3 linked regions of the Struthio camelus genome follow. The protein of the gene in region 1 purifies or fractionates together with the protein of each later gene. This does not show direct contact. Links are inferred from orthologs where the notes say so. Each region holds a gene or a part of one and is shown on either strand. Other genes may lie near its edges.

Region 1 (7,892 bases):
GAAGAAGCTTGGCAGAGATTTTTCCATGACTGGAGGGCCTGTTTTCACCCCAAATTCTGACACCAGTAAGCAGTAGACACTGTGCAACAATTTAAACATCCTTGACAGCTCTGACCAGCAAACACTTCTAGTGCCCTTCTCTTACTGGTGACTGCAGCTTTCTATCTATTTTAGCCATTATTTCTTCCTCAATATAATTATAAAGAGCTGCTTTGCATCTTCCCCCACCTTCTCTCTGCGGAACGGCATAGGTCCATCTTGTCCTTCAAGCATGATTAGGCGGTAAGATTTCTCCGCTTTTAGAACATACTGTCTTCTTTCCCCTCCCCCAGCAGAAATAATAATGTAGCATAATTCTTCCAAAGGGAAATATCAAAAGACTATACAAAGCTAGAACACAAGGCTGACTGGTTCTAAAAGTGCCTAAAGTAAAAGGTCCCCAGAACTGAAAATGGGCACAGTCTTGCTCATCTCAACAACAAATAGCCGCTTTTTGAGAAAAGCGATTCTGAAGCCCTGAAATTGATTTGGGGCTTATTTTAACTCTCAGTTCTGATTCATGCGGAACAAGACACAGAAAAGCCTAAACTTGGAATGATTTATTTTTTAAATTCAGAGGGGCTTATTTTTTCACATTCTTCCTGTACCAGAGAAACATTTGAGGAGCCGTCAAACTAAAATGTTAATAAGAAATATTTAGAATATACTGAACATGTGGTATTTTACCTGAGAACTATAAAAGAACCAGAAAACTGTGAAGGATAAAATTTTTCAGTCAGAATTTGGTACCATAAGAACAGAACGTGTCAAATATCCTACAAAGGTTCTAAGAGCATCTGAGAAACTAGAGACTAGTAAAGTCAACTCTTGTAGTAGAGTAAATTAGCAAAATCAGTAAACAAATAGATTAGTAACAAGCGAGATTTTTTTTTCCTTTTGTACAGCAAAATCATGCCTGACAGAATATTGGGGGGGGGGAGGGGGGCAGGGAACGGGATCAGTGAGTATGAACTGGACAATACTAAGGATTTAAATCCTTAATAAGCTTTCAAAAAGATCCTGTGTCAAAGGTTCTTGAAGAAAGCAAGCTGGCAGACGAGGAGAATCTTACTGTAGATCAAACTTTGTCTAACAGACAGCAATTAACAAAAAGAATATAGAAAAAGACAGGCTGGATTATACAATGCAGGAAAGTTTTCAGTAGGAGAAGGAAAGGTCCCATTCTATAGGGTCTGTACTGATACCTAAACTGTTCAGCATAGTCATAAAAGGAACCAACTACCACAGTGACAAACTTTCTTGACTGTACTATATTATTTAGGATAGTTAAATGGCAAATACGGTATCTGAATTATTAAACACAAAATAAAAAGCAGAACAGAAAATATCATTATTAGACTATATAAATACACAGCATGCCCACTTCTTGAACACTAGGGTGACCTGGCATGCACATATCTCAAAAAGATATTGCAGAAAAACTACCAAAGAGAGATTTAAGGATGATTAGAGATGCAGAATATCTTGCAATGCATCCCAACAGAAAACAAACAGTAAAATTAGACTCAGGCAAAAGCAGCACTGTATCTATGACAGATCAAGCATGTACCAATGAGGCAAGGGTAGCAGAGATAGGAAATCTTTTATTTCAACTTTCAATAGGGACAGGAAAAAGCAAGAGCTTTCAGGCAGAATCCTTTTGTTAAGGCACGCTTCTAATTGGATCTAAGAGATGTACTGAGGACACTGTTTTCCCCTTTCCATTCAATAGGTCCCAATGGCTTGTCTAAGCCTTTATTTGCTTAGGCGACATTTTGTTTTGTAGATGCCAGAAGATTACCTGGGAGAAAATGCTATTTGAAATAAACGCGTCTGTTTCTGCACATCAGTTTTGGCTCTGTTTGTCAGACTTAAGGAGGAGACTTGCAGCCCAACTACTTGTCATTTTTTCAAACTATGCTACTTTTTATATTGTATCACTAGGCCAATTTCCTATTACCTCTCTCCACAAGTACTGTTTTACTTCTGCAAAGAGGGAGACTAGTCTGTTCAGATCCCCAGGAATAGTAAAGGAATAGTAACGTAACTCTAAAAGACCAAAGAAAACAAAACAAAACACAAAAAACCAGAATCTTTCCCTAAACAATGAGCAAGTAGCAAGTCAATCCTGAACAAGAAGGCAGGTGACACAAACTGCAGCCCACGTCTTTTGCATCCACGCAGCAAAACGTACCAACGCTTTTGGTCATTGTGGAAGAGGGAGCGGAAAGAACACCAGAAAGCGACGGAGAGAGGGAGAGAAGGGAAGGAGAGCAGATTCCTCGCAGCAGCGGGCCCAAGGGTCACGGGCAGGTCAGGCGGGGCCAGCATGGCCCGCACACCCACGCAGCTGGAGGTGCCAGCCTCACTCACGCTCTCCTCAGCGGGACGGGAGCTGGCTGCCCCACCAGCAGCCCCCGCAAACCGCGAACTGCAGTGCCCTATCTTCCTACCTACTTAAGGAACCCCAGCAACAGAGAACTCGGGATTTATTCCAAAAAACATCCCTGAAAGGGAAAAAGGAGAAGAAGCAGGGGGAGGGAGAGGGGGGCGACCGCTCGGGTCAAGCGGCGCCACCCGAGGCGGCGGCAGCGCGCCGAGCCCCGCCCCGCCCCGCCCCGCCCCGCCCCGCGCGCGCCTGGAGGGGGCGGGGCCGCGGCAGCCCAACGGCCCGCGGGTAACGGCGCGGCGGCAAGAGCAGGGCCGCGCTGCGCTCCGCCCTCGCCCTCGCCCTCCCCCCGGGGCCGCTGGCGGCGTGGCGAGAGGCAGGGAACTCACCGAGCAGAGAGGGAGCCGCTCCTCCGCCCCACCGGGGAAAACAGCCCCGGGGAGCTGCCTGCCGCCACTACGGCCAGGTTCCTCCTGCCGCCCGGCCGGGAGAGGGGGCTGGCGGCGGCGCTGCCGAGGTTCCTGCGGGCCGACCCGCCGGGGGTCCGCGGCGAGGCGGGAGCCGAAGGGAACATGGCCGGGGACAGAGGCGAGCGGCGCCGGCCGTGCGGCAGATGGGCTCGGGCTGGGCGCCGGCTTTCTGCGTCACTGTCGAACGCGCCCGTCGCGGGAAGCAGAGGGGAGGAGCAGGGCGCGCGGCAGGCTGGTCCGTGCGGGCCAGCGGCGGAGACCCCGCGCCGGCCGGGTGCGGGGCGGGCCCTCTGGCGGCGGCCGTTGGCGGCGGCCGTTGGCGGCGGCCGTTGGCGGCGGCCGTTGGCGGCGGCCGTTGGCGGCGGCCGTTGGCGGCGGCCGTTGGCGGCGGCCGTTGGCGGCGGCCGTTGGCGGCGGCCGCTTCGCTCTGCCGAGTACGACCCAGAAGAAGGAAACTGTCCCCACAAGTGCGCTGAAATTCTTAAAATGCGCAAGTGTTAACGCATCCAATTTCTGTCTTAACCCACATCAGTCCTTCTTCGGCGCCTCCAAAAGTAATAGTTTAATCGGGGGAGAGCAGAGTTGCACAGCTTCGGGCCAGTTAAAATGGCGGTGAGCTTCAGAGAACGATTATCCGATCCTGCTCTCTTTCAGAGCACAAGAATTGGAACGGTCACTTTTCTCCTCCAGCAGTGTAGGCAGTCAGCTGTGCCAGATGTTCATACGGAAAAATGCAGGTCCTGGATCCTGCCGAAGAAGGCTGGATGCGTTCAGTCCTTCAGGCTGCTCCCAGTGGCATTCAAAAGACTTGATTTGGAACCCAAGGAAAGCATATCTGCTACCGATCAACTCGCTAATAGAAAAAGAAAGGTAACATTGAAAGGTAACTATTGAAAGACCATTTCAAACTGCTCTTTTGCACTTTTGGAAGGACGTGTTTCCCAGCAATACGGTTGCCTGATGTTGAAAATACCCTGTGCTGTAACCTGTGCTTATTCCAAAGTTCAAATTTAAAAAAAAATAAAATTGTAATTTCCCCCAAAGAAAACATAGCGCATGAAAATTTTAGTATGTTTCACTTCTATGGTAACTAACAATCATGCACTACAGAAAATATTTACTATTACAGAATTTATTCTGTTAAATGGGAGTTAAATTTTCTCACTGAAGTTAAACATTCAACTTCATTTTTTGTATGAAAAACACAGTTTCCAGAAAGTACATATGTATCATCGACTGTAGGGGAAGAATTTGAGTTATGTCATTGTCAATGCAGGTAATTAGTTGAGATAAAACTAACCAAAAATAGAACAGTCCATAACTCCCCACAATTTTCCCAAAACACGTTCTTTGATTAAAAAACAGCTTATGGCAATACAGACAGTGGTCCAATATGACTGAAACCGAAGAGCAGAGAAACAAATTTGAGATGCATCATCTGGCAGTACTGAAGAATGAAACTTCTGTCTGAATGTTTCAGTGCTTTGCCTTTTAATTTCACCTGGTGTCCCGTTGTTTTGGTTTTATTGGAAAGGCAAAATACAAACATTTAGTGGAACTTCAGTATAACGTTACATTCACGTTGTATCTTTCTGTATAGCCTTCTCTATTTTGCTGCATGCAGTGATGCTGAACTGTCATGTTACTGGTGTTTCATGGAGAAAAAAATAAAACCAGAAAATGCATACACAAGCAAGTGGAGAAAAATCTGAGTAAAACTCAAGCTGCCATCGAGATCTCCCAACCCCCACCAACAGTCAGAGTCAAAGTCTTTTAAAAAGTGATAGCTCCCCAAAACATCTCATTTCAAAAATATTTAAGATAATACAGCGTAAGCAGTTTTTTGCTGATTGAATTCTGACTCGGTATTTACTCAGTGAATTGTGTTTCCTTTTGCTGTCCCAGACCTGTTTTAGAGCTCCATCTTCAGGACAGAGGAGGACAATTCAATCTTTTAAATAGGAAATCTAGCTAATGCTAATTGTACCGTACTAGTAGGACTGGCTAGAGACTTAACCAGTCCTTGAACAAGGACTTGCATAGTACTTGTTTTTCACATGAAAAACTGAATGTCCCGGAGGCAATTTTGACAATAGTGACCTAGTCAGGATTTGAACTAAAAGAATGGAAATAGGAGACTTGTACTAGACCACGTCTTCAAAGTGTACAAGAATATTAATACTTTTGTACTTCTATTTTTGATTGATCAATGGATTGAAAACCAGTGTAGAAAATGTTCCATAGCTACGCTAGCCCCAAACAGTCACCTATCTATTTAGAAAGAAATTAGTTTGAAAGGGTAGCAGCAGCCAGACCACACCATCTGCAGAGCGAACAACATTCCCATGAATTGATGGTTTGTATGAAACAAACTTAACTTAATGTGCCTTATGGGACGATACAGAGGTTTACACAAAGATGCATATGAAAGATCAGTAACATTTTTTTTTCAAAAGCTAGGAAATATAATGTCTTACACATCAACATAGAGTTCCTTAATAGGTCAGCACAATACTCTGTTGGTTCTTTGCATCATCAGTTTAAGACCTCTTAAGCAATTTGCATCAATTGCCCCAATTCAAGACCCCTGAAATTGTTGAGCAGTGGAAAGTCTGTGAAGACAAAATTGCTTAAGACTTTAGAGAGGATATGCACTTCTAGAAATTCACTTCTATTACTCCCCTAAATGGAATCCACTCCCTTTTCAAAGATTAAAATACTGACAGAGACTATATCAAAAAATTAAAACAAAAAGTTGCAGTAACTGTTTGAAACCTGACTTGAATAAATTAGCACTTTCACAGAGATGCTCACGTTTCTAGTGAATGATGAGTGACAATGCTTTGATCAGTACTGTCTTTAAGTATTAAAATAATAAATAGTTTAATAAGTAAATTAAGTAATAAAATAACTTAAGGCACAATTTATTTTCAGTGTCTTACTTCCTTCAGGAAAACATTTATGCTCCCAGGAGTTACAAAACAAATAAATTAGGAACACAGCGAAGGGATAAAGTGCATATTGAGAGTTGGCCTGTCACTAAGACTGCAAGTACTCAACCCTAAGCAGTATATTCCACTTAGTAAAGTTGTTTTGAAAGCACTTAGATACAGTATTTGAGCCCTGAAAATCATTACTGGCTAGCAAAATTAAAAAAAAGAAACAGTTCTGGCCCCCAGGCAAGGATGAAAATAGGCCCCATTAATAAATACATGACTTTGAAACAATGCCTACGTTAGGTATCCCCTAAAATAAGGCCACTAGCAATAGAAACTGACATTTAAAAAAAATCACATATGTATATATGTGTAAAAATAGTTACATTTATTTTTAAACAACCGGGAAATCATCTTTTCTACTTATCTATACAGAGAAGATGCGTTTAGCCCAAGTTAGAACAGCAGTGCACATGGTACAAAAGAGAGATGGTTTTATATTATGTGTTGCACACTAGGGCTAAAAGGACACTAAACTACCATTTGGGAAGAAGGTCTGGTCTTTCTTTCAGGAAATGTGGGATAAACTTAATCTGACTTAGTAAATTGCATTCACTTGTGACTGAAAGCATTTTCTGCACCTTTTGGCCTCTGGAATACAGTAGGAGTAACACAGCTGTGTTTTGAGCCTGCTGACACTATCCTTCATGGAACTGAGCCTGTTCCTACTTACAGTAGCTCCATCAAAAGAAAACAGCAAAGAGCAAAGCAGAGACAAGATTTTGAGTTCAAGCAGTGACCACTACATCATCAGTTTCAAGAATTTTTTTTAAAGCTGACCTATGCCCTTTTCAAGTCTTCTTTATACATCACAGAGAAACTCTACCATTTTTCACCAAATGTCTTATCTACTTGGTACTTGTTAGGATACCCATTTTAAAATATTAGTACTAAAATGGACTGTGTACATCAGAGTGAAGAGTGTTTAGAGTATCCTGCCAAATCATACCGCAGCTGGCGATATTTCACTATGTGCTAACTGTGTCAGCAGATTTCAGTGTTGCAATTACAGCCCCATTAGAAGAGCTTTTCAAGCGAGTTCAGAAGTTAAAGTGTCTGGCAAAATAATCTCCTATCCATGCACTAGACTAGTAAGCAGCTGTTGACATTTAGATAACTGGAGAAGTTCTTTTTAAGAACAGATGAGGAATAACAGTTTAAAGTTAAAGAACTCTCCAACTAGTTTTCTCCATAGCTTTTGTTTTCTGCCAAATCCTGATAGAGCACTGAACTCTGTTCCAAAGAGCCTTGCCTCTCAGGATCTGGCTTTTGATGGAGAATTTGAAGCTTGGGCAATTTAGTTTCGCGTTACTTGTTTCAGGTGAACTACTATCAAGGGCGTTTTCCTGTTGTGTAACATTTTATAACAGTATGTTCTTTCAGGCTTTTTAACAGAACTTCAGACTAAGTAACACTGTATACACAGCATAGCTGTTGGGTTCGAAATTTCAACTTTCAGGAGAGGAAACTATTTTTGGAAGGTCAAACCTCTTATTAACAGTACAAGTATAGCACAAAGTAACAAATGTTTTGCATCTAAGTCTTCATCTATGACACGCAGTGTTACTAAAAACTGAAGAAGTCAACACTGGAAAATACAGTTAGGGAGTATAATAAAGTTTGTTTTATAGTGCTTTTTGGTATACCAGTCCCAGGTATTAACTCAATTAGTTAAGACTTTTATACGTTGTGTGGCTCCTTTTCCCCTTATGGACCACACTGCACAAGGCAGAAGCGTGAAATAAAGCGGCCCTGAGCAAAGTATGCCTATCAGGATTGTCAGATAGGCACCAACAGCTTCAGCCTTGAACAGGCGGCCATTAAACTCTTGTAACAAAACAGAATACAGTAATTTCTCTCCTTCGAGATACTGTCTCTTTAATACTCTGGCAAAAGGATCAAATTTCCCCGTGAAGCTCAACTAATGGGGCTCCCACAGTTCCCCATGCAACGATGCAGAAGGCTGACTTGCACTGCTGTGGAGGTAGACAGCATACC
Region 2 (7,717 bases), on another chromosome or scaffold:
ATTGCAGTCCTATTAAATAGAAGTTTACAGACAGTTGACAAGCTCAATGCCCCAGTTATCCTGATGAAGCATAGAGACTGGTCTTTGTATGTCACAGTTCTCAGAAAAGTTATGAAAAAAATAAAGAGGAGGCCCAATGTTGTAACATTTAATAGACCAGCCTCTTCCTTTTTTAAAGTTTTAGAATATGCAAAAAGGAGACATTCAATTAAAAATGCGGATATTGTTTTCCAACTTCCTTATTCCTGCTACCAGTATGTCTATTGGTAACAAATTCTGCCAAGGTAATTAATTAATGGTACAAGACTGCACGCTAGCCTCTGCTTTAAGTGAGAGGTGTTACAGATGTTTTTTAGAAGTGGAGAAGGCTGTTTTATTATAAGGAACACTGTATCTACAAGAAACAGAAGTATTTATACTCTACAAGTCACAAAAACTAAGTACATTTTGACAAAACATGGGAGAAATTACGGTCTAACTGTGTAATTATTATCAATACAAACCTTCCAGCTGGCAGTGCAATGCCAATCCCCGTTTTCACTTTTGTCCCAGACCTATTGAGAAATCAAAATACAATCATACTACTAAATAAACTTTATATACAAGTTGTATAAAAAAAACAGGGTCATTTAAAAAAAAAAAAAAAAAGGACCACAAATTATTTCCCTCCAGAAAATCCTTTCTGGTCCAGTACACTACTACACTTCACTCAACCTTGAAAATATCCTTAATACAGGTCCGAGGAAGAGCCACACATCTGCAAAACCCACTACAGTATGAGGTCTCCTATTTTTTTTTACAGAAGACAAATTATTACAATTCTCATCTCTTCACTTTGATCTTACATTCCATGGGCATGCCAAAATTACTCCATTTTACCATAGCACTCCTATGATCCTCACCATGGCATGTGCTCACAGATAGTTCCAAAACCTCGAGGTGGCTTCTGGCAATCACAAAGGACAGAGTAGGACAGCAAAGAGAAACTGATCCCAGTAGGTTAACAGATTTGGTTCATACTATGTCTGACCTGAATTATAACCATCCTGTCAATAATTTTTCTCAACTTCCCAAAAATCTTGTCTTTGCAACTTTTTCAGAGAAATCATGAAGAAACTCATGAATCTCATCAAGGAAAGACAACTCCAGACACCTGGCAGCCACTCCTTGTTTCTCACTCATTCACTGTATAACCGTATTGAAATAACATTGTCTCACTTTTGTCATTCTGGATCTCTAATACAACCTTGGTTATAATCAGTTCACCAGGCCAACTCCACAAAAATTGCTGCCCGATTCCTATTCTGCAGGGCCCACCTAAGGCAGAGGGGACCTAAAACAGACACCAAATAACAGATATACTGCTATTTAAGCAGTGTTGTAAAATTCTCGTTAGAGTAAAATTTCTCAAGACTCTCTTATAAGAGATACTGGTATGACTGGAAAGTAACTTTATACCACTGAACAATATTGTTCCTAAATTTCATCTACCTTATGGCACCTTTCTTAAGTATATTCTCTTTTAAGCTTTACGTTTTATATACTTAATCCAGATCAAAGGCTGACTTACATGCTTGAGTGGGCTTTTTTTGAAGTGCGGGGAAGGGAAGAGGGGCTGTTTACTTATTTTTAAGCCTCATCTAAATTAGACAGCTATTTACTGAAAAGTGCTAACGTTTTATCGGCCATTTTCCAGAACTTAAAAAAGAAAAAAAAATGCTATTATTGCCCTCTGCAAACTGAATACCTTAAATCTAACAGTACGTAACCTCTTCTCCCTATACTCATATAATGGAAAAAGCAATTAACTTTCCATTTATCATGATTTTAGTTCCTCTAAAGGAGTGTGAAATAAAGGTTTCTAGCATTTTATCTGTGTGAGCACGCACAGAACGTTTCAGCTAGTTGTTGATTGTCGGCGCTTCGGTATGAGACGTCGGCTTCCTCCCTTAGTGCCTTCAAATAAATACAGCTTTTCAGAAGACACAAAATAAAACTGCACTGCTGTAGCCACAATGGTTTAAGGATGTTAAAAAAAAAAAAAAAGTAAGAGCTGTCAGGAAAAAGAACATATCTATTTAGACCAATTAATACCGATAGGAAAAGCCTCTCTGGGTACTGGGGCACACAGTCCCGTCATCCCACGTGACACGAAAACAACAGACTACAAAAACTACTGCTCCTGTTTCAAATCCAAAAAGGAGAATCAGGTGCTTGTGTGGTTTTCCCAGCTGTAGCAAGGGGTCGAAAAAAATTATGTATTCCTGTGTCTGTGTGTGCGTTTGCACATGTATATGTATATATATACTTACATATATACATACTATATACACATGTGCATGTGTATATATGTGTGTGTGCATATATATATATTAAAAAAAGCATTATGTATAAATACATTGTGGCTTTACAGTCCCTGCCGTTGAAGTCTGGGGGCGCAATCATTTAGCTCAAGAACGGCAGCTGGGGCTTTCTGCAGCATTTGCCCTCCGCAGTCCCCGGGGGAGGCCGAAGGCCGGTCGCCCGCCCGCCGGGGCGGCGGCTCCCGGGCGGCTGGAGCGACGCTTCGCTCCCAGGCCTCGGCGCCACAAGGCGGAGCGGGGAGAGGGACGGGCTCCCTCGGGCCTGGAGGCCCGCCGCGCCGCGCCGGGCAGGGCGGAGCGGCGGCCGGCCGGCCCCCGAGCCCGGCGGCTCCGCACGGCCGCGGCCGGTGCCCGCCGGCGGCGCGGTGGGCCCTGCAGGCCGCGCCGGTGCCGGGCTCCGCGGGCAGGCGCCACGGTGCCTCCTCTTCCTCCCCGCCCCGCCCAGGCCCGGCGGCTCCCGCTCACTTTGACGCTCTGGTCGCTGGAGCACGTCGCCATGCGCCGCCCGTGGAAGTCGAAGGAGACATCGTGGATGAGGTCGCGGTGATCCGCCGCGATGCTGCGCGCCACGAACATCTCCGCGGCCCGGCCCGGCCCGGCCCAGGCGCGCGCCCTCCTCGCGCCGGGGGCGGGGCAACGGCCGCCGCCGGCCCGCGCTCAGCCCCCAGAGCCCTCCGCGCCCGCCCGCTCGCTCCTCCCCCTCCTACAACGGCCAACGTGCGTTCCGGCGCCGAGTGAACGGCCCTTCGCGCGCGCCCCTCCCCTCCCTTCCCCTCCCCCTGCGGCCGCGCTGGGGCGGGCGGCAGCCGCGCTGGGGCGCCCCCCTTTTCCGCGCACCGCGGAGCCGCTCTGCCCTCCCCAGCCACCCGGCGGTGACCCGTCCTCCAGGGGGAAGGTCTTCCCCCCCTCCCTCCCCGCCCCCCACGTCCGTGGGCATCCACAAAGCAGGCAGCGAGCGCCTCCGTGCCGGCGCGGGGGAATACGAGCTGTCCCGAGCTTGGAGTTGCTTTGTTGAGGGCTGCTGCTCTGGCCGGAGCTAACTCTGTGCTTTGAAAATAGGGCACTGCGTGTCGTCGCAGTGTGGAGCCACGCGCAACGTGAGCCGCAGTGACACTCAGTAGTGAATCTCTCACAGAGGACAGCAAAGCAGTAGGCATCAGATAAGGCCTAACTGAATGAAACCAGTCCTGACTAGGAGACGTGTAAGAAACATAATATTAACGTTCCTTTCTAGGTGATGCAAGGTTGAGCTTTCTCGGGAAATCACGGTCGTCGTTTTGGCACCTCAGAAAGCAGCAACCTTGCTGCCTTTGGACAGCCTTCTCCAGGCCTACGTTGCATCTGAGACCTTTTTTTCTTTTTTTATGGGCTTTGGGGAGGATTTCTTACTTCACATCTTGGTAAAGGAATATTTAAAACAATTAAATGTAGTTGTATCAGTAAAACGTGAATTAGACGTGAATACTATATTCCAGTAGATGGCAGTAAGTCATAGATTTCGCCTTTTTGGGAGCCATCTCAGAAACACGTTAAGTCGGTTACGGCAATCCGACACAGTAATTCTGAACCTTTTTGTATGTCACTGCCACCATTGTCCCACATCCTCCTTTCTCCTGCTGCTTTCACCATCTCGTAGGAACCCTTCGCAGCTGCTCACCCAAGTCCCCGCCTGCTTTCTCGCACTACTGTCCTCAAGCTATATTGCTGCCTCCTAACCAGCGCTGCAGCTGCTTCCCGCTTTCTCCCCTCTTCTAGCCAGGGCTATTGCCATTTCCCTCTCTTTAGTAGATATTGTTAAGCTGGGCTATAATTTACTCTCTTTTTACATTTCCGTACTTCCAACGTTGGAGCTCTCTGCAGCGATGCAAATCCAAAAAGCACAAGCAACATTTAACACGTCAGTTTTTGACTTACTTACTTATCAAAGTACATTTACTTCTTTGTTTTATGGTTTACTCTATTAATGATTACTATCAGGTCAGCCCTGAGAGTACTGTGGCGTAAAAGAACATGAGACCTACTTCTAGGAGAAGAGGAGGTAATATGGGCCAAGTTTGAAAGGTTTTCTAGGAAGGACAAACAATGTGCATTTGACACAGGCAGAAAAGGAACATCTGAAGGAATTTCAAGACAGGTTAGAAGCACTAGATGAGATAAGGTGGGTTTTGGATCACATGAAAGACTACGAGGAGGAAGCAGAAGAAAAGGAAGAGGAGGAAAAGAGACGTTTTCATGGAAGAAAAGAGTTTCCAATAACTCAGGTCTGGGCATGAGCTATAAACCAGTAGTGACTAGTGTGAAGCCTGAGGGCCATACGAAACAAATTAACCAAACCAGCCGGAGGCTCTTCAGGGCTGAATACTCTCACCACTGACCTGCTGTGTTCCCCAGACAGCCCCTTGCTAACGGAAGCACTTTCTTCCAGTTTGCATCCTGCAGTATCAGCTCCCAAACTGAATCACGCAGCTCTTCGGAAGAGTAGCGCTAGTATGTCTTTAATTCCCTTCAGTTTTTGCATCATTGAGCTCAAGATTGGTCCAGTGCCTTGTTTTTAAGGAATGTTTCATCCATAAGCGTAGAATGCCATGTTATTTCCTGGTTAATCTGAAGCTGACTGTAATAGCTGACAAATGTTAATGTAGAGAAAATAAACAATTCTTTCACTAAAATTCGCTAATAATGCACTTAGTAGGTTTAGAGACAACAGTAAATAGATAACAAGGAGATGATGAAGATAGATGAAAGCAAACCACACTTCTACTTAACTCTACTTCATGTCAGTTCCCAAACAGCGCTCAAGCCATTAGGACAGCTTCATTGCCTTGTAGTTGGGATCCAGTTTTCAACAGGATCAATAGGTACTGCTATTAAAGAAGAGGATCATGATGTGGTGCTTCCTGAAACCAAATTCTCTTGATTCAAATCCGAGTCAGACCTTTCCCAAAGCCTTTTTTGTATCTGCACCTTTAACCAGAGATTAGTTTTATCATTTTGGAAAGGAGTTTTGACTCCTTCCACCTCATTTAAAATTTTCGTGTAGCTTGGTCTTGGCAATAAGGAGTCAAATTCAGTCCACTTAGTGAAGAGAATTTGTTAAGGAATGCCTAAACAACAAACAAAATTATAACGAAACCATTATCTGATTGTGAGATAAACCTGGCAGTTTAGGGTTTGATATTTAGTGCATTTATTTTTCGCAAACTGTAAAATATATTCCATGGTAACTAATGGAGCTGCCGCTATCACATGCCATGGAGACTACTTCACTCGTTTTTTGAATCATACGCAAATGTACTTCATAAAAGCATTTAACATTGTAGTAGACCTCATATCTAGACTAGATACGTTGGCACCCAGAAGTGATAATGGCCGATACCAGACTGATGTACGTGACGAGAAATTTGAACGTGAAGGAATACTATGGCATTAAGATGTTAGGATTTAATTATTTCAATGATACCGGGTAAGGATAGTTAAAAAATAAATATTTTTGAGATACTAGAGAGCCAAATCTAAATGGAGAGCAGGAAATAACATTGAAGAGAGAAATTTGCAAATTGTTGTCAAGGAAATTAAGGCAACTAAGTTGTACCTATTTATATTGGTGGGGAATTTGGTTTGACATTTGCAAATTACAGAAAAATTGTAAAGCATTTTTTTAAATGAGGAGCTAATCAGAGGAAGGGAGTAATATTTTCCTGTTTCTAAAGATGAACTGGTATTGCACAATTCATCCCCTAGAGAGAACCTCACTGTGGATTGTAGGGCCATGGTCAACACATCCCACAGAGTAAGTTATTTCTAAGTAATACGTAAAATGAAAGCAATACAATAGGAGAAGCAAGCAAAGTTGATCATTCGTGATAGTCCCAGTGCTATAATGAGAGACGGTATTAAGTTTTGCATGTTGTAGGAGAAACACTTTTATATTAGAACAAAATAAACAAACATATCCGAAAAATATTCATGCACTTACTTGGATTGCTAAGGAGAAATATTTTTTTCTCTTCTTTTAGCATTATTAGAGACTTTTATACTTTGAAGCGTCAGTTATTGCTTCACTCAAACAGCTGGAGACTCAGTCGTAGTAAAAAAAACATTCAGAAGTTCTTTAATGCACAGAACTGTCTCTGACTGATTTTGTTTGCTATTTTTGAGAAATGTCCTCCTTTTACTGTAAACTGTTGATTATATTTATAAAGAATTGTGGTTTTTTTTCCATAAGAATTGTTTCCAGAGTCATCATCAAAAAATCCATTCTTTTGCAATTTTTAGTAATAAAATTATTTTGTCAAGACTCCAAATGTGTTACAACTAATGAATTCATAATTTTCTTATGCTCAGATTTTAATTTATCTCTTCAGCCAATAATATTAGTATATTTGGAGCAGGGCAAACTGGTCTGATTCACAAAACAATTGTCATCAATGTGTTACATTTGAAAAAGAACTAGGAAAAAATTAACATCTCCTTTTTAAAATAGCTAAATAAATTTTCATTTCAAAACTTGCCTATTTATGTTTAAAAATACCTAAATATTTAAATATGGCACAAATGCACATTTTTGTTTGACCTAAGAGGTTTGTGGGGGGTTTTTTTGACAAGACAACAAAAATTGTACATTTCAAATCAAGACTAAACTTTTTGTCTTACATTTTAGTTTAGTCAATAAGCTAAAAAAGTCTACCGTTCTTCCAGGCTATTTTTACTTATATACACATTTATTTATTTATTTAAAGACAACTTAGCCCTGTCCTCAGTCTCTAGAGTCCATGCAAGTAGGTCAGTTTGCAGCCATTAAGGAACTGGGCCCAAAATCTTCATTTACTTAAAGACAGAAAAGTCCAGGGAATATGTGGGAGATAGATTGTCATCCCAGTGCCTTCATTTACCTTTGTGTCTGAGTGCAGTCAATATCCAGTCATAAGATAAACATATTTATCCCATGCAGATATTTGTATCGAGCGTTTTTGTGAGCAAACCAATTGACATCATAGAATTAATGTTCAATAGAGGAAACACTTTATGCTGAAGCATCAAAATTACCAAAGGGATGAAGGGGCAAGTTATACCCCTTGTTAAGGCAAGCAGTCATTAAATAGACAATCACTGTAGTAAATGACATCTGTTCTAACAAAGAAGCATTCATATCTTCTGGCAAATGAAACTGCTTATTTGAATTTTAAAAAATGGCCAGACCATCTCTTGGATTAAGAGGAAATAAAATAAATTCTGTGGAATAAGATTAAATCTGTCTGGACCTCCCCAGAAGGACTTCAAATGCTATACAAGAGATCGGCTATGCAAGCTAATATGCCACATTAAAAGAGAGATTTTCTAATGGTATAGCATGA
Region 3 (7,574 bases), about 8.8 Mb from region 1:
GTGGGGAAAAAACAAAAGAAATGAAAGAAAAACAGTAAATTCTTTTGAGAAAAACAGCACCTACTTTGTTAGATAACAGGTATCAATGAAAATTATGGAATTCTTTGAATTACTGGTAACAACTGGTTCCATGACATTTTCTTCAGAAAAATAGGAAACAACTCACAAACATAGGAGGAGCAGTAGAATGATAAGACACTTCCTGCACTTTAGTAGTCAGGTTCAGTGAATTAGAATTTTGCCATGTTTTACTCCAGTAGAAAGACTAAAACAAGCAGGTGATTTAGTGAGTAGCACTTGATTATTTTTTCCCCACTTGAGGGGGGAGAGGGGGGAGAGGGGGGAGAGGGGGGAGAGGGGGGAGAGGGGGGAGAGGGGGGAGAGGGGGGAGAGGGGGGAGAGGGGGGAGAGGGGGGAGAGGGGGGAGAGGGGGGAGAGGGGGGAGAGGGGGGAGAGGGGGGAGAGGGGGGAGAGGGGGGAGAGGGGGGAGAGGGGGGAGAGGGGGGAGAGGGGGGAGAGAGAAAATCTGATGTTTTAGGCAAAATCCCAGGTATTTAATCCAAATAACAAATTTTAGTCCCCCCCAAAGTCATTATCATAACAGAAATGAGCTCTATCAGAATGCAAGAATCAGACTTATTTCACTGAAATGCAGCCTACAGATTGCCTTGCAGAATTTATTCAGATGTTTCGCAAGCTCTCCAGGAAGCACAAACCTACAGCAGAAGGTAAGAAAGAAAAAAGAATTTCAGGTCTCTATCCCATCAACCACCAAGCCATCAACAGCTAAGAACCTGTATCTGATGCAGACCATAAGACTTGATTTCCCTTTAAATACAAGAACAAACAAAAACAAACAGAATTTGACACTAGATCCAAGTCTACCCAACTAGTTCCCACAATTATTTTCTAATATGACTATGCATTTATTCAAGAGCTGAAACCCCCGTCTAATATGGCTAAGCTAGCAGAAGCTCCTTAAGTCTGTGCTAAAATACTCTTTTTTGTATGACTTGGTATGCTTAGGGTAGACAAATGCAGCTGTTAGCTTTCTCGCCACCAAATCCAGCCTCGCTGATATCACTAGGTAGTAGTTAACAGGGCATCGCCAGCGTAACATCATGGTACAGCATCCTACCACATGGCCTTCCCAGCACAGGATTCTGAAACATACTTCTACAAGAAGCAATCTGACAAGGTAAACTACAAAAACATTTCCAACATATACAATAGGCCAAGGCTTTTAGTTCCTCTCTCCTACTAATGCAGTTTAAGCATTCTGTCCACCACACAAGTGACACATCACCACAGGTCTGTCACTATTACTTCTCTAGAACCCTATCTGACAGGTTACTAGGTAGAAGACCTGAAACTAACAGAAGCCTGATGAAGTTCATTTCACTGTGTTAGAAAAGCAATCCCAAGGAAAACAAATGCAGCAAAATGAGCTGATGTAATAAGTGAATGAGGAGCTGTCCTCAGCAGAACAGGATACAGTACTGCATGCCCATACGCTTATGAGAGCTACCAGTCAAGACTGATATAATGATCTAGACTGATGAGTCTAAGGAAAAAATCACTTGAAATACCCTATTTCACCAGACACCCTAAACGGGATTCAGTGTTCCTGACACAACTACGTCCTCTGATTTTGCATAATTTTACCAAACGTTATCAGGCAGTAATTAGCAGACCTGAAAGATTGACACTACATTTCTTTCTATTGGTAAAAGCTCCAGACCTGGAGTCACGGTTTACTACGGAAGAATTCAAGCACTTTTGTTTAAGTCAGCAACTCTATGGCATGATGCATGCTTCATACAAAAATTAAGAGTCGTAGAAACCCTCAGCAACACATAACAAAAAGTTGGGCTGGCAAAGCAAGAGGGAAAGGCAGGTCCCTCACACCCTCAGCAGGGCTCAGGAGACGCACGAAACACACTCGGCATCTGTAAAACTGTGCTCGGCCCATTAAACCCAGTTCTCTTCCTGCGACTCCCGCTCTATGCAGAAAGCTAAACATCCCGCCTTCTGCTGGAAAACCAGACCAAAAGGGGGAAGGGGGGGGAAAAAAAATCCAAAAAATCGCCCGAAGGGCGGAGAGGCGCGGGGATGTGCGGGTGACCGGGCAGGAGGCCGGCCGGCAGGGAGGGAAAGCTCGCGGCGACGGTCGCCACATCTCCCACGCCCCCCCCCCAGCCCCTGACTGCCGTCTCCCGCCGGCGGAGCCTCGCACACCGCCGCCGCCTCCCATGTGCTCTGCCCAGGCCGCGCCGCCGCCCGCCCCGGCCCAACCCGGCCCGACCCGACCCCCCGCCCCGGCCCTCGCCGCGGCCAGGCCACGTGCGGCGGCCGCGGCCCAGGGGGTCACTTACGTAAGGGGCCGGGCGGCCGCGGCCGAGCCCGCCGACAGCCCCCGCCGGGCCCGCGCTGCGCCAGCGGCGCCGCTACTGGCCTAGCCGCCTCGGGAGCGCCCGGTACCTGCTGTTGGCCGCAGGGCGGGGGAGTGGGGGGGGGGGCGAGCGTCGCCACCGGCCACCGCCGCCTTCTGCCTGCGCCGCTCCCGCCCACCTCCCCCACCACCTCCCCCATTTTTCCCCCGGTACGTGCCGGTGAAAGCGGCGGCATCTCCCGCAGCGGTTAGAGCGGCCTCCGCCTGCCCGGGCCTCTGCCCGGCGGTACCGCGCCGCCCTACGCCGCGCCGCTCTCGGTGCCTGCGCAGCCGCGCCGCGCCCCGCTCCGCGCCGCGCCGCTCCCTCCCCTCCCCCCGCGCGCGGCACCTACCTCGCTCGCTCACCCGCCGCGCGGGGGGCGGGGCGGAACGGTGTTGGGGGGGGGGGCGGAGATCTCGCGAGAGCGGCCGCGGCCACCGCGGGAATTTTCAAATTCGCGGGGCTTGGCCGCGGGCGGTGGCCGCCTGCCGGGGAGGGGCTGCGGCCGCGGCCGCGGCCGCGGCCTCCACCGAACTACGCTTCCCAGCATGCCCTGCCGCCGCCGCTTCCGCTCCGCCGCACCGGCTTCCTGCCGCCGCCGCCGGCGGGCCTGCCGCGGGGCACGCTGGGAAATGTAGTCGCTGAAGGACTCCAGCGGCCGGCGTCACGAGCAGGGCGAAGGCGCCATTTTCTCTGCTGCCCTCGCCGAGCGGGTGGCCGCGGGGGGAGGGGGGGAGGTCGCCGTCGCTTGGTAGCACCGGTCACCGGACAGCTGCGCGGCAGGGGCTGCTCCAGCCTCGGCGCGGCAGACGTCTGGCTCCTCGGTAGCAGTTTGCAGGCCGACTTCGGCCAGCGCAGCTCTGTCTGCGACAGCTGCGGCCATGCCCGTGCTAGGGACAACGCGACGCCGGGTGCAGCTGTGTTTCAGTGCAACTGCTAAGCCTGGTCCCGGGGTGTTAGGGGCCTGTAAAGGTGGTGGTTCTGTGTTAAAATCCAAGCTTGGGCTTGGACGGGTTTATGCCAGGAGTATTTTGCCTGTGAAATACGTTACGTGCCAATAAAATATCTTCAGCTGTAGAAGTAGCCTGGAAAAGGCGGAAGGCAAACAGAAATTAAGCGTCAGACCTAGACAAGCACGCGCACCTCAGAAAAGTACTGCTAGAGAGCTTTTTGATCTAAACCCCCGTAAACAAAGATGGTGTTTCCATTTGATTCCTGCTGTGACCGAGGGAAGAGGACTTTGTACGTTTTGTAAATAAACAGGTTTCCAGAACTGCCTGATTGCGATGAAGTTTCTAGTTCATTGCGCAGGTCTGTTGCCCAGTTAATTGTTTCTACTTGACTGCAAAAGCCTGAACAGCAAGGAAGCAGAAGCATAACTAGCATTTAATGAAATAATACTGGCAAATTAAAAATACGTTTAAGGAGTGGATTAGCTCTAAATTTTAAATACAATTTTTAGGCTGAAAACATATCTATATGCCAGCATAAATAAGCATCTCTTTACAAATGAAAGCCATGACGTATTCACCATTGAAATGAGGAAAGCAAGAGGCACTTAGCTATACAAAACTCTTCTTTGCAGCCATTTTGAGAATAATTCCTTGGGTCGATTTGCCAAATAAGTTAGGACTTTCCCATTTCCTTTGCAACATCACCAGCATCTTGGCAAGATACTTACCCTTTTAATTTTTGCCACCTGGAGGTAGAATGTCACCAACATTAGGAGAAGGAAGTGTCTTTGCACCTTGCATTTCCATTACTATTCTTCCGATTCTAGTTTGTGCTTTTTGATGTTCCAGATGTTGTGTCATTCAGGATGAGAAGCTGATAGCAGTGAGGTATCTCTTGGGCAGTACTGCTTATGTTCGAAGAAGGAGCAGAGTCCCACTTTCTTGTACTGAACAAGAATTAGGAAGAGAGTTCCAACCCCTTTTCCAACCAGCAGTTGCACCCAGGACCCCCATTTTTCTCTGGGTAGCCAGGCACAAGGCTATTTGTTCTCTTTTTCATGTTTTCAAATCCCCATCAACATCCAGAACACAGTTAATCAGTCTGCATATGCCTATTTGGTAATCCTTTTATTTCAGCTACCAAAAAGGCTCAATTGCTTTTATATTCATCCCAAGTAAAAGAAATCCATTAGCCCTCCCAGCTTCAGCAGAGCATAGTACAATCAGTAACACACTTAAACAACAGCCACCTAATTTCTTCTGTTCAAGTGTTTTGCTGTTGTTGCAATTTAAGTAAAGCTTACTCAACTTACAGTGGTGCTTGCAGCATCATTTATTTTCACCCTACAGTGTAAACGAAGCACAAAGTCTTCTCTTTTCAGCTTTAAAAACAACAGGATAAAATTCTGATCCCTGGCACTTGGACAAGTTTTTCTACTTTCTCGCTACGTTTTCTGCAACCCACCTAGTATCCAGCACAAAGAGATTCATTGCACATTGCAGTCAAGATTATTTTCATTATAATGTACAATTTGTTCAGAAAATACCAGAGCTATTAAGCATCACTCAGGCAGTTTAATACCTACCTTTTCTCTTATAGTCCCACCCGTATGTCCTAGAACACCCTACAAACAAGATCGGAAATCGGAAATCAAAATATGTCAGCTTTGTCTGGCAGACCTCTTCCAGCACCACTCTCTAATATGTTTAATTGATGTTGGAGCAAGGGCAGCAAAACTTTGAAATGAATTTTTAAACTCACAGCACAGTAAAACATGCTCAGAAAGACTTACTGAAGAAAACAACCAGGTCACTAACACACACACTAAATAATCCCACCTGAAATTTCGGTATAATCTTTCTAAACAATAACCTTTTGTAAGCAAGTACTAATCTGTTTCCCATCCCAGCAAGGGCTACGCTCAGAGTTTCTTTAAGGACACACTTTTATTCAACACAAAAGTCAGGGAAAAAAAACCTCAGTGTGAAACATTTCCACTGTAGAATACAGTCTAATCAAACCATCTAAAGTAGATGATTAGAAGATAACTAGTAAACAGCCACCTCTTTCCTCACCTCCTTTTCCCCAGGAGAGGAAATACCTGCCACTTTCCAAAAGTGGCCTGATAAGTGCCTGCTGCCTTCCTCCTCAGTCCCTCTGGATTTTAAAGCTATAGGTTATTTTGCTGCACTTTTACTCTTATTTTTAATAAGAAAACATATGTTAAAAATCAGCACAGTCAACATAAAATTAAGGTGGCACTGTTAGCCACTGCAAAGGCAGAAAATAAATATGAAGTGAAAAGTGCAAGTCTAATGCTATTCCTTTGGAGTATAGGTGTTCCAATATGGTCAAAACACTCTTTTACTTTAAAGTTTAAAATTTCAGATATTAATAAAGAGATCTGCAGGGCTACCAAGAAGTCTCTCTCCATTCTGTACATCAGCTGAGCCCCCTCTCACCTCTTTAGGGCCGCCGTTTGTGCCAGGAGCATTGAAAGAATGACAAATTGACTCAAGTCTTCCCGGCTTCCTACAACTGCTAGCAGCATATATTATCTCTAAATTATAGCTGCGCGTCTTAAGGTTAAGAACACTATTTTTTATATAGTTGTGGAAATGCTGATTGTGACTTGGTGGTTTCTGTTGCCATTTTAGATATATGAATTTGTAGCACATAGGAGCACAGATCATGGACAAGGACCCCTCTCCGTCATGCAGTGAACTATCATGGGACAGTCCAGCTCCTGGTGTATCGTGGGAGATGAGGTGTGCCTACAGTCAGCTGGGAATGAATCAGTGAGACAGTATTTGTCAGCACAAAGACTGGCTAGGAAGCCTAACTCTTGTCAAGCTTTTTGCAGGCAGTAAGGGAAAGGAGAATTTTGAAGATGAGTTGGTGTTGCAGATGTGTACCGACAGCTCCTCCCAAACATCCTGGCCAACATGAAGCATGTAGGGCTGTGTTTGAAAACATACCGAAGTGGGTGATACCACAGGCTGATCAGTGATGGCAGGACTGACTCTCTGTTATGCCTGAGAGGCCAAGCATGAGACAGGCAGAGCCAGGAAGGGCTATGAAAGGCCTAGAAAGTGAAGACAAATAGCTCACATTTGATGTAACAGAGAGTAAAGAGCTAGGGGAGAAATACAAAGATAGGCATGGCAACGTCAGAGGACCAGCTAGAGAAATATTATTTGCGGACGCATTTAGGGTGATTATGTACAGGACAAAACGGTATATATTAAGGACAGGCAATGCACTTTTGTAGTAATCACAATTCAAAGTGATTACAGCTTGGACGGCAGTTTTAGCTGTATGGATGGAGACAGGAAGGCCTCATGTCAGAGATTTTAGAGAGAACAAGGCTTAGACCTGGCCTGAATAAGGATGCAGGGAAAAGTGTGGACCAAAGACACAGCCAAGTTGTAGGCATGCATGGCTGCTGGTCTAAACAGTGACTGAGCAGAGAAGGAGCACCATAATGAAGTGGTCTTGTTTCAGCCAAGCTTAGCTTGAACTGATAGAAAGGCTTTCCTGAAGAGACAGCAGAGAAGCAGTGAAGCCTGCATTTGGAAGAAAGGTCGAGGATTCATCTTGCCAGTTTTAAATATCTGCAGTGCAGACATTTGCATCAGAGCTAGTCGGAGGGGCTCCCTTTGTAGCAGCGGAGAGAAACAGGCTCTTCCTGGCGGCTCTTCATCTGGCCTCTTTTAGGTACCTGCTATAGAATAAGGTGAGGGTCACTTGGCTGTAAAGGGAATCTAGACAACTGGTTCAGATGGAGACACCTACGCTGTACCCTTTCACTTCTGGTCAGATCAATCCCACCTTAAGAGACTGATCTGAATAGAGCACTGGATCTTAAAGTTGTCCAGAAGGTGAATTTATGTTTGCAGTGGAGATTACCCAGTGATAAGGCATAGAAGAAGAGAAGAAGGACAAGGAGAGGGCTTTATGCAACCCCCAGCGAAGTCTGGCATGGAAGATAAAGAGGATCCTCCAACAGACTTGCTGAATGAGCGCATAAAGGGAAACGGGACAACAGAGTTGTGAAAGACAAAGAATAATGTCTCAGGAAGCGAAGCACAGTTGACTTGTGGACGGTGGCTGACTAGTGAAGGAAAACGTCGAGGGAGAGCTGTAGCTGACGACAAGCAGGTCATTGGAGACTCCAGTGAAAGCGAG

The links.
Region 2: the proteins of NUP133 (region 1) and SEH1L purify together in Homo sapiens (affinity purification with mass spectrometry; 4 studies listed by BioGRID and IntAct, with this or other methods). This does not show direct contact. The link is inferred for Struthio camelus from reciprocal best matches to the Homo sapiens genes NUP133 and SEH1L.
Region 3: the proteins of NUP133 (region 1) and AHCTF1 purify together in Homo sapiens (affinity purification with western blotting; 3 studies listed by BioGRID, with this or other methods). This does not show direct contact. The link is inferred for Struthio camelus from reciprocal best matches to the Homo sapiens genes NUP133 and AHCTF1.

The regions. Positions count from the first base shown.
Region 1 is NC_090944.1:91,500,612-91,508,503, forward strand, and holds the start of NUP133 (nuclear pore complex protein Nup133), read right to left. Parts: upstream 3,089-7,892; 5' UTR 3,003-3,088; coding exon 2,818-3,002; intron 1-2,817. UniProt on the Homo sapiens protein: Involved in poly(A)+ RNA transport. Involved in nephrogenesis.
Region 2 is NC_090943.1:113,515,303-113,523,019, forward strand, and holds the start of SEH1L (nucleoporin SEH1), read right to left. Parts: upstream 3,011-7,717; 5' UTR 2,940-3,010; coding exon 2,829-2,939; intron 555-2,828; coding exon 504-554; intron 1-503. UniProt on the Homo sapiens protein: Component of the Nup107-160 subcomplex of the nuclear pore complex (NPC). The Nup107-160 subcomplex is required for the assembly of a functional NPC.
Region 3 is NC_090944.1:100,274,377-100,281,950, forward strand, and holds the start of AHCTF1 (protein ELYS), read right to left. Parts: upstream 3,036-7,574; 5' UTR 2,785-3,035; intron 2,749-2,784; exon of another isoform or gene 2,611-2,748; intron 1-2,610. UniProt on the Homo sapiens protein: Required for the assembly of a functional nuclear pore complex (NPC) on the surface of chromosomes as nuclei form at the end of mitosis. May initiate NPC assembly by binding to chromatin and recruiting the Nup107-160 subcomplex of the NPC.